Linked DNA regions of Diceros bicornis minor. The protein of the gene in region 1 interacts with the protein of each later gene in a pairwise test. Links are inferred from orthologs where the notes say so. Each region holds a gene or a part of one and is shown in the gene's direction. Other genes may lie near its edges.

Region 1 (3,747 bases):
TTCACCTTTTCCTCATTTGTCTCTAAGTTGAAGGCCTTGTTGGAGGGGACAGCACAGGAACAGCCTTGACAGTCTGTAATTAGTGTACAAATATTTTAATAGCATATAAATAAGTATATTCCTTTTATTTTGAAAAAAATGATCAGACACTGCCTTTTGTGTGTTTGCTGCCTGTGGCACCCTTTTTTAAAGACTGTTACATATTAAAATAGTGTACATATATATAAATATTACCTCTTTTGCTGTACAGTTGTGATAGACCAGACTGAAGATTTTATTTTTTGTGTGCTTTTTATAAAAAAAAATTAATACACTAAAGAAAATCTTGCTGATGTGATTGTAATGTACCTATGTAACTTATTTACTTTTGAATGTTCTTCTGTATCTTTAAACCTTTTATTAAATAAGGTTTTAAAAATTCAGAGTTGAATGCTGTGTTCTTTGGGGAGATTTTCACCATCTGGGATTGATGTAGGTAGGCCTTGTTTTGCTTGCAGGGGATTACTCGACGTTTTTGAATTATAAGGATTCTGTTTTATTAGCCCATTGCCAATGATGCCAGGACAGAGGAAATAACACAGTAGCATCTGCCTGGCTGCAAAGATTACTGAATAGATACAGATCTTTTTATAAAATTTTAGACAAGAAAGTCTCAACTCAGTATCACACAAAAACATGTAAATGGCACACTTGCAACGTTTTCATTTCATTGGGATGAAATATGGAGGGTGCAGAGTGCGATCAGGTGGCACAGGGAAGCTGCGGTATTTTCACATGCCGCATTGACTGGCTGAATGAGTGACATGAGTAGACAAGTCTGCCTTGACGGATGCATTATCAACAATATCATCTTAAATCCACTCCAGAATTATATTATCTTTTAAACATGGTGCTTTGTAAAAAAAACTGGAAAATGAAAAACGAAATGCACCATCACAGAAACCAGTGCCCACAGCCGCTCGCTGGCACCATGGCAACCGCTCGACCCCTCCCCCCCACCCCCACCCCGCGGGCCGCCGCCAAGCGCAGAGCTCCAGTCGTCTGAGCCACCGTTGCCATGGCTACGCTCCGGCAGGCTCCGCCCCGGGGGCGGGGCGGGGCGGAAGCCGCTCAGGGGGCCGGCCCCGCCCTCCACTGCGGCAGTCCCGCCTCGGCTGGCCCCGGGTCTGACGAGTCCGTAGCCGAGCCGCGCCAGCCCGCGCGCACCGCCGCCCCTGTCCGCCTTCGCTTCCGCCACCTCTAGCCTTGCTTCTACGTCCTTCTCGCGCCTCCGCTGTGTCCTCGGTCCTCCGCGTCCTCGCCGCCCACAGGGGTTCCTGCACCCACGAAGAAGCCGCTCGCGGGCTGGCTCCGCGCCACCGCTGCACATCAGGACAGTCTCTCCCTCCGGAGGCGGCACAGTCCTCGCCTGCAAAGCCGCCGCTCCTCGCCCGCCTGAAAGCCCGGCTCCGACCGCGAACGCCTCATCGACTCCGGGAGCAGCAGCGAGTGCCCGGCGCCCCGGCTGCACAGAGGAGGCGGCCACGCCCCGCAACCACACCCCGGCGGCCTCTCCAGCCCCGCGCCTCCTGCCTTCGCCACCCACCCTCGCTCCGCGCCTTCTGCGCTGCGACACGACATCCTGCCTGCGGCCGGAGGACCCCGGCCGCGGACCCCGGCCAGAGACGCAAGATGGCGGCGGCTGAGTGACTGACTGACCGAGCATCCCCACGGCTTCGCTCCGAGAACGCGCCGACGCACTGGCTTTGGGGGGGCAGCGAGAGGACGAGAGCGGGACTCTGATGTCGTTTGTTGTGATTGCGTGAATCTTGCTTCCCGCGGGCATATTGGGGGAGAGTGTCTGCTGTTGTCCTAAGTCCTTGAGCAAGGGAGCCATAGTCGAATCCGTATTCCTAGCGTTAGGGTCCTTGATAGTTGGGAAAATGGCGGTGACACTGTTGGAAGACTGGTGCAGGGGAATGGATGTGAACTCCCAGAGAGCCCTGCTGGTCTGGGGGATCCCAGTGAACTGTGATGAGGCTGAAATCGAAGAGACCCTCCAGGCTGCGATGCCCCAGGTGCCCTATCGAGTGCTTGGGAGAATGTTCTGGAGGGAAGAGAATGCGAAAGCAGCCTTGTTAGAGCTCACTGGCGCTGTCGATTACGCCGCGATCCCCAGGGAGATGCCGGGTAAAGGAGGGGTCTGGAAAGTGGTCTTTAAGCCCCCGACTTCCGATGCTGAATTTTTAGAAAGGCTGCATCTCTTCCTAGCAAGAGAGGGGTGGACCGTGCAAGATGTTGCCCGTGTCCTTGGGTTTCAGAACCCCGCTCAGGCCCCAGGCCCAGATATGCCAGCGGAGATGCTGAATTATATTTTGGATAATGTTATTCAGCCTCTTGTTGAGTCCATATGGTACAAGAAGCTGACGCTGTTCTCAGGGAGGGACATCCCGGGGCCTGGGGAGGAAACCTTTGATCCTTGGCTGGAGCACACTAATGAGGTTATAGAGGAGTGGCAGGTGTCTGATGGCGAAAAGAGGCGGCGGTTGATGGAGAGTCTTAGAGGCCCCGCCGCTGATGTCATCCGCATCCTCAAGACTAACAATCCTGCGATAACCACCACCGAGTGCTTGAAGGCGCTTGAGCAGGTGTTTGGGAGCGTCGAGAGCTCTAGGGATGCGCAGGTCAGATTTCTGAACACTTACCAGAACCCGGGAGAAAAGTTATCTGCTTATGTCATTCGTCTGGAGCCTCTGCTGCAGAAGGTGGTGGAGAAGGGGGCCATAGATAAAGATAACGTGAACCAGGCCCGTCTGGAGCAGGTCATTGCCGGGGCCAACCACAGTGGGGCCATCCGAAGGCAGCTGTGGCTGACCGGGGCTGCGGAAGGGCCGGCCCCTAACCTCTTTCAGTTGCTGGTGCAGATCCGCGAGGAGGAGGCCAAGGAGGAGGAGGAGGAGGCTGAGGCCGCCCTCCTGCAGTTAGGCCTGGAGGGGCACTTCTGACTCCCAGGAAACCGGGTTTCAGTGCAGACCTGGATCACAGCTGCTTTCCTTGTCTCTGGGCTGTCTTACAGGTGTGTCTCTTAGTAGTAAAGACTCAGCCGTGTTCTGTTTTCTGGGGGGGAAGTCAGGTCTGCGTATTTATGTAACATTAGTAAAATTGTGCAAGCGAACACCCTGAGCTGCTACAAGTGAGTCATGCTAGCTATAATTCCAGGTAAAGGCTTGGACACAAGTGCTCAGTGCAAGCAGTCCTAGTAGCATCATCATCAGTTGTGAAAAACATGTGAACTTGTGACAGTTCCCATCGAGGTAATTAAATGTGAAATTGCATGTTCAGATGTTTAGCGTAGGGCCTGGCTAACACAAGAAGTGTTAAGTAAAAATGTGAACTGTTGTTACTAATATCGTGAATAGTTTTCGTGTTCACTGTAAATTGTTCCTGATTTATATTAATGGAAAGAAATGTGAATTAATTAGATATTATTCAACTTTATAGTGCAGATTTCTTATTTTTCATCTTTAAACATCTGAATCAGTTTGATTGAAAAGATTTCTGAGACTATAAAATGGGGTGTTAGAAAAATACTGCAATTATAGAGCTGTGTAAATCAGAATTTTTCACTGTTCAAGATACAGATATAAATTGCATGAACCAGTTACGGTATCCATTCCATTTCAAACCTTTGTCATTGAACAGTTCTCCTTGTTCATACTGATTCTAAGCATTCTAAATTTGAAGTTATCAAATACATGTATATGAATA
Region 2 (3,747 bases), on another chromosome or scaffold:
GGCCATGCTGCCCAGAGGAGAGGAGGTGCTGGGCACCTCCTGCAGCCCGGGGGCTCTGCTAGGAGCTGTGACGGCCATGCCTCCACGTGGCCCTGGTCCCAAGGCCGCGTCCTCAGCGGTGGTCGTCCAAAGGCGCTCTCCGTTTGTCTCTCATCCGCGTGCTCTCACCCGGCGTCTTCCCCTCCTGGGCTGGCAGCCCTTCCCCCTCTGCCGTGGAACGTTGGCTGGCTCTCTCCTCAGTCCACCTTTTCCTCTCGCCCCCGACAAACTGCTGCTACAAGTGGCTTCACAAACAAGAAGGCGAGAAGGTGAGAGAAGCCAGCCGCACAGACACAGAATGCGTAACAGAGGGTTCCTTTTACAGGAAGCTCCAAGCAATAAAAGGAAACGACCGTGCGTGGGGACACACCTCGGGTGGTGGGGCTGGAAGGGGCCCCAGTGGGCGGGTGGTGCCTCCGCGGGAAGGGCGTGCTGAGCGCAGGGAGGGGCATGTGGAGGGCTTTGGGGGGCTGGATTCCTTCAGGTGCTGAACTAAGACTTCATGATAATTTGAGAAGCTGTGCATTATGTTTTAGGCATTTTTACATAAATGTTGTACACTTCTAGCCAATAAAAAGTTTGGAAAAAAATGGAAACCGTGGGAAAATTCACAGTGATACATGTTCAGTAAAGTTCCTCACGGCCGTGTTTGTAACGGCAAAGAATTAGCACCGTGCAGTTCAAGGACAGAGGCAGGGCCAGCAGGTTACGGCACAGCCGTAGACTGGACGATCCCGGATGTTCGAAGTGGTGAGGATAGCGCACTGCCCACGACACGCCGTGGAGCAAGAAACGCAGCTCTAGGACAAGTTGTTCCGAGGGTTTCCGGTTTGTGAAAAATGAATATGAACATTTACACATACACGTGCATAGAAAAACGCGTGGATGTCAGCACCACTGCGATGATTATGGGCGATTTTATTCTATTGTATTTTTTTCCTTTTTATTTATCTGTTTGTTTCTAATTTTTCCTAAAATGAAAACATATTGCTTGCGTAATAAAAAATATTCAGAAGGATAAGAAAAAAGGCCAGCTTCTCATTTCTCCGAGACAAGCCTGGTTGTCATGGAGACTGGATGGTTGTCAAGGCAGCGATTGGCCAGTGGAGCTGGTTGCAAGAGCTTCCTTGGAGCCGGGAGCTGGTGCAGCCCTCAGACCGCACTGCAGAGCCTGGCGCCAGCATGGACGGGGTGGACGTGTGGGCCAGCACCTTAGCCCAACTGATGACCAAGAGGAAACCCCAGGACACCTGGGAGCTGCTCCCTGAGGAGAACCTGGCCTCGGGGCACCTGGACAGCAGCGGTTTCCAGTACCGGCTGAGGGGGCTCTCGAGGTGCGGCTGTGGGGGTCCTCCTTGGGGTCCCAGGAGGGGAGGGGGCTGAAGGCTGCTTAAGCATTGGCCCTCGGTTGGCCCCGTGTCCTGAGGCCAGGCTAGGTGTGGCCCAGCACCTGGGGGGGTGGGATGCGGGCGAGTGTCTGGCCTGGGCTTGGCCCCAACAGGTGGGTTGGCGGGTGCTCCTTCTCCCTCCCAGGAAGTGGGGGTGTTGGAGGGACAGCGCCTGTTCAGTCCCTTTCAGCCCGGTGAGCTGAGACCCTGCCTGCGGTGCCGGCCACCGAGCTCAGCCTGGGCCCTGCCGCAGTTGGGGGGTGACGCGGCCGCCACCGCCACATCTTCTGGTTTCCATGGCAGCGCTGATGGGAGCAGGGGATGGGCAGGCGCCCGCGGTCACTGCCTGCCCTGCGCTGCACAGGGGCCTGAGGGACCGGGAAGCTGAGAGACACATGCAGGGAGCAGGCCCCGAGAGGAGGGGTAGCAGTCCCCGGCCTGGGCTGTGGGCGAGTGGGGGCCCAGCTCGGGGGCTCCGGTGGCCACGGGTCACTACGTGAGCCTCACTCTTCATCATCATGACGACAGCTGGCGTCATTGCAACGGGGACAGGCCTGACCTGCAGGAGCCACCCAGCCAGGCGTCCCCAGTCCCCGGGACCTGACTGGGGAAGGGGACCTCAAAGACAGGTCACTGTGGGGCCCCCGTGGGCAGCTGCCCTTTGACACGGATGCCACAGCTCCCAGCGTCCGAAACCCCGGGGGCCGGGTGTGCGGGGGAAGGCTGGCCTTCTCAGGTGATAGGAAGTGACAGTCCTCGGTGCATCAGAGAAGCACCTTCAAACACCTTACTGTTCCCACGGCCAAACTGAAGGACTCCACAGGGTCGAGATGAGGACCAGAAAGATTGTTCAGTTGGTTTTCAGTTTTCACCGATAGAAACGCCAGCCAGTGGATGGCCACGTACTACAGACCCACGTCCTCCAACACAGCAGCCGCTGGCCATACGCGGCCTGCCATGTGCTTGTGGATTAAATGTAAATACAGCTGGAAGTTCCCTTCCTCAGGGCACTCCCTGTGTCCAGGTGCTCCTTGCCACTTGTGGCTCCCGGCTGGGCGCAGACAGAACAATCCCACTGTCATGGAAAGTTCCCCCGACGCTGATCAGCTTCCCGGGGAAACGCTCCATGAAACCTCCAGGCATGCGGGTCCCCACACACGTGTGCAGGTGCCACAGTGATCACAAGCCTTGGAGAGAGGGCGCTCACCTGCGGGGCCTGGGACACGCACACCGTCATCCTCCAGGGACCGGCACGTGGCTCCTCTTCAGTGCGGGGAGGCGTGCGGCTCTCGCTCCCACGTGCAAAGTCAGCGTGACGGCACCCCAGCAGGGGGACTCTCCAGCCCTCACTGCTTCTCTGTCCCCCGAGACCTCCCCATCACCCAGTCTCGTGCGGCAGGGAGCCCCCGAATTTATCTCCCCGTCACCTTCTCTCCCTTGGGCAGGGCTCCTCTTTCCAGGGCCCCCACGTCCTCTCCGCAGCACCCCACCTGCTACTCCCCCCGACTGGTATCCACAGGCCTGCCTTTGCCTCTTCGTGACGTTTCCTCAGGGCGATTATGCCCCGAGTCACAAAAGAACAGAAAAGCAGCGGCTGCAGCAGCGAACACAGAGTGACCCCTCACGTGCGTCAGGCCAGGCTCTGCCACCGAGTGGGTTTTGTGCCAAACTGATGAAAAGGTGCTTGCTTTTCAGCTCTTCAGATTATGGGTTGCAGACACAGTGTGCGCCAGCATCTGTCCCTTTGCAGATGGGGGCTCGGGGTTATGGAACTCCACTGGGCCTCGCTCCTCGCCCTCCTGGGGAGCAGGAGGGCGGCCCCCTCCCCTCCGCTCACTGCCTCTCTCTCCTCTGCAGGCTCCAGTGTGGCCGCTGCCAGTGGGGCTGGTCCTCGGCCCACGTGCACATCCTCTTCCATATGTGGTGGGATGAGGACAGCCGGCTGGGGCTGGTGAAGATGCGCATCTGGGGCCAGCGGTGCCGGCTGTGCCCGCCGGGCGCCCAGCGGGACTGCCAGGTGAGCCTTCTGAACGTGCGGCTCTTCCTCAACAAGCTGGTCCTGTTCATCCTGCAGAAGTGCTACCGGGAGACCCTCAGCTCTGACCAGTGCCCTGAGATCTGCTTCAGTGAGCGCTGCGAGGCCTGCGACCTGGGGGTCTGCTTCTTCCAGAAGCCCCCGGACCCCGCTTGGGGGCCGGAGGTCAAGAGCCCCATCCCCATCAAGGGCAGGTATGCCTTGTACGGCAGCAGCTCGGCCGTCACTGCTGAGAAACAGTCACTGACGCTCCGCAGCAGCCCCTCGGGCGAGCGCTCCTGGGGC
Region 3 (3,747 bases), on another chromosome or scaffold:
GATTTTTGCAGCAATGAAGTCCTTTAAAAGCAAGAGTCAATTATGAAAATAAAATTATTTTACAAGTGAAACTCTGTACTGCCTGAGAATATATTCAAAATTAGATTTACATTAACATTTTAAGAAAACTTTAACTCAGGTTCACATTTACCTCCCTTCATTTTTGTTAAGTTTAAAACAATTTTAGTGGCTTACTATAATTTAAAGGTATATCTAACAAAATTTTACCATATACAAATTTGCACCATTTCTCACAACTAAAACATATTTTCTAATAACTAGTTCTTGTAATAATAAGGTAATAGTATTAAATATATCTGAATGTTAATTATGAAGTAATTATCAAACAAAGTGCTTGCACTCTTTCTGCCCTGCCCTGTTTTTCAACAGCATATGGAAATTACTGAAAAGAGATTTATGGTCATAAACCCTCACCCCATAACCACTCCCTCCCCCCATACATGTATACAGCAATTGCTCTGGCTCTTGGCAACAATGGGAGGGGATGGGAAGAGAAGGGAGGAAGACTTTGCCAGAGGGGAAAATCTAGAAAAATTTAGGTCCTTTCCCAAATTCACCTTCCTCCTCCCATTTGCCTTCAAGCAAAAGTAATTCTGTTAGAGTTTGCACCTTCTTCACCATGTTGATAGGAAAAAAAAAAAAAAGTGAACCTTTCTGAACCACTGCTACTCTCCCTCGGTTACTCCAGCCATCTCCAGGAAGTCCCTTCTATATAGACTCTCTTTTTCTTCCTTGCAACTGATAAGAGAGGAGGATAAAGAAGAGGGGGCTGTAAAATGTGTGTGAGCATTTGACTTCTACTATCTCCTCCTATTTTCTTACTTCTCTCTTTACCCCCTTTCTTTATCAAGTGCAGCGGTGGCTGCTACCGTCTGCCAAGCATGCCTGTCTTCTCTCTCGGATTGGCTAAAGCACTGACAGCTCGGATAGCGATTGTAGGAACTGAAGCTCCACCCCCCTCATGATGGCACTGGACCATTCATAAACTAAATAACTCCAGGAAACAGCAAGGCAGAGAAAGAGAGAGAGAGAAAGTGGAAGAGGGGGGAGAAAGAGAAAGAGAGAAAGGGAGGGAGTAAAGGAGGGAGACGGAGGGAGAGACGGGAAGGGAGGGGGGAGAGAGAAAGAGAAAGGGAGAGAGATTAGGAGGAGAGAGAGAAAGAGAGAGACGTCGGAGGGGAGGTGGGAGAGACGACTCAGAAAGTCGAATCTGCACAAGCAACCTAAAGGGGGAGGAGAGGAAAAACCCTTGAATCGTTACAACTAAACCCCAGATGCAACGCAAGCAACGACTTCGTCACACTAAAACAGATTTTGTGAGGGCTAAAATTATAAATTACGAAGCAGAAATGAATATCAAACAACTTCCAGCGGTTTGCACCTAGAGAAAGACAAGAAGAACCCACTGCAAACAAACAAACCCAGTCCAAACAACGCCTCCAGTAGGAAAAGAGGAAAACTGCTACACCACGACCCCCTAAGCAGAAACCAGACCAACACGCTGAGAGTGCGGGGCATCTGCAAACCTCCGAGTGTGCGGTGAACTGAGTTGCACTTCGCTGCTCTCTGGACATTAATTACATCCTTCACCTTCCATTTGGGGGAGGGTGAGGAGAAAGGCACTCACCTACGCTTAGTGAAGAAGTCCTACCAGCGTGGGAGAGAAGTTTTAAGAATGAAACATCGAATGTTTCACTTTTATTTTTAAATTTACTTTGGCACTTAAAAGACCTAATTTCCAGATTTCTGGGCAATCTCGGCTGCAGACATCTAAGCGTAACCTGAATTTTTCTCTCACCCTTTTTTTCTCCTTCCCCTTCATCTCTCCCGCACATCTTTATTTTACATATCAAGAGAAAGCAAAAAAAAGTCTCAGCAGATATTTTTCTTTTTCAAAGATCACCTTTTCTCTTATTTTCTGGAGAACAAAAAACGGTTTCGAAAGCGGGGAAAGAAAGAGCAAGCCGGCTGGCTGTAGCATCAGCCGGTCAGCCCAGGTGGAAAACAAGAGTGAAAGTGGGGCTTAGGGGGAGCGCACCGCCTCGTCCGCCAGCCGCAGGGCCACCATCAGCGCGTGAGCCTTGGATCCCTCAACGTACTGCGAGACGCCGGTGTATAGCCCGGACCTTTGCCCCAACATGATCGCCGCCCAGGCCAAGCTGGTCTACCAGCTCAATAAATACTACACTGAGCGCTGCCAAGCGCGCAAGGCGGCCATCGCCAAGACCATCCGAGAGGTCTGTAAGGTGGTCTCGGACGTGCTAAAGGAAGTGGAGGTGCAGGAGCCTCGCTTCATCAGCTCCTTGAGCGAGATCGACGCCCGCTACGAGGGGCTGGAGGTCATCTCGCCCACAGAATTCGAGGTGGTGCTCTACCTAAACCAGATGGGCGTCTTCAACTTCGTGGACGACGGCTCGCTGCCCGGCTGCGCGGTGCTCAAACTGAGCGATGGGCGGAAGCGGAGCATGTCTCTCTGGGTCGAGTTCATCACAGCGTCCGGCTACCTCTCCGCGCGCAAGATCCGCTCACGTTTCCAGACGCTGGTGGCTCAGGCGGTGGACAAGTGCAGCTATCGGGATGTGGTCAAGATGATCGCAGATACCAGCGAGGTCAAGTTGCGCATCAGGGAGCGCTACGTGGTGCAAATCACTCCGGCGTTCAAGTGCACGGGTATCTGGCCTCGCAGTGCGGCACAGTGGCCTATGCCCCACATCCCCTGGCCTGGCCCCAATCGGGTGGCGGAGGTCAAGGCCGAAGGGTTCAACTTGCTCTCGAAGGAGTGCTACTCGCTGACCGGCAAGCAGAGCTCTGCGGAGAGCGACGCCTGGGTGCTACAGTTCGGGGAGGCTGAGAACCGCCTGCTAATGGGCGGCTGCCGAAACAAGTGTCTCTCGGTGCTGAAGACGCTGCGGGACCGCCACCTGGAGCTGCCAGGCCAGCCGCTCAATAACTACCACATGAAGACGCTGCTACTGTACGAATGCGAGAAACACCCGCGGGAAACGGACTGGGACGAGGCGTGCCTCGGCGATCGGCTCAACGGCATCCTGCTGCAGCTCATCTCCTGCCTGCAGTGCCGCCGCTGCCCTCACTACTTTCTGCCCAACCTCGACCTTTTTCAGGGCAAGCCCCATTCGGCCCTGGAGAGCGCTGCCAAGCAGACCTGGAGGTTGGCCAGGGAAATTCTCACCAATCCCAAAAGCCTGGACAAACTATAGGGTGCTGGGGACTGCTTGAAAAGCGACACAAACGGGAATGCTCTCAAATACACAACACAACACAACAACTCAGCGACAGAGTGGAAACTCCGGACACAAACTTTTATGTAAGCCACCTGAAACAGGAACCAGGCAGAAGACCTTCGTTAATTAACAAGCAAACAAAAAGAGAGCAAACCAACCACCAACCAGATTCTTGCACAAAAGTGATCGTTTTCTTCCAAACAATGTGAAATTAAAAGGTCACACAAAAGAAGCAATCGGGCTTTGCCACCACAAAATGAAACCCAAGGTACATTTTCAAATCAATGTATAGTAGTTTCTCCCTTTTTCCTTCTCTCCCTCTGTCCTTTCTCCCTCTCCTTCTCTCCTCCTCTCTTTCATTTCATTTTGGGTTGCCTGAATGTTGTCACCAAGTGAAAAAAAGTATTTAATTATATGTAAAATTTCTCTTTTAAAAAGTTTTGCTGATGTTAAGTGTATCTCAGTGCCAATGTCAGACTGTGTC

Evidence for each region.
Region 2: the proteins of PNMA1 (region 1) and RTP5 interact in binary tests that used the Homo sapiens proteins (3 or more experiments, as listed by UniProt). The two-hybrid records come from large-scale screens. The link is inferred for Diceros bicornis minor from reciprocal best matches to the Homo sapiens genes PNMA1 and RTP5.
Region 3: the proteins of PNMA1 (region 1) and MAB21L2 interact in binary tests that used the Homo sapiens proteins (3 or more experiments, as listed by UniProt). The two-hybrid records come from large-scale screens. The link is inferred for Diceros bicornis minor from reciprocal best matches to the Homo sapiens genes PNMA1 and MAB21L2.

Annotation. Positions count from the first base shown.
Region 1 is NC_080763.1:21,878,707-21,882,453, reverse strand, and holds the start of PNMA1 (paraneoplastic antigen Ma1), read left to right. Parts: upstream 1-1,245; 5' UTR 1,246-1,922; coding exon 1,923-2,984; 3' UTR 2,985-3,747.
Region 2 is NC_080776.1:28,596,962-28,600,708, forward strand, and holds the start of RTP5 (receptor-transporting protein 5), read left to right. Parts: upstream 1-1,221; coding exon 1,222-1,373; intron 1,374-3,284; coding exon 3,285-3,747.
Region 3 is NC_080750.1:39,056,412-39,060,158, forward strand, and holds the start of MAB21L2 (protein mab-21-like 2), read left to right. Parts: upstream 1-1,602; 5' UTR 1,603-2,159; coding exon 2,160-3,239; 3' UTR 3,240-3,747. UniProt on the Homo sapiens protein: Required for several aspects of embryonic development including normal development of the eye.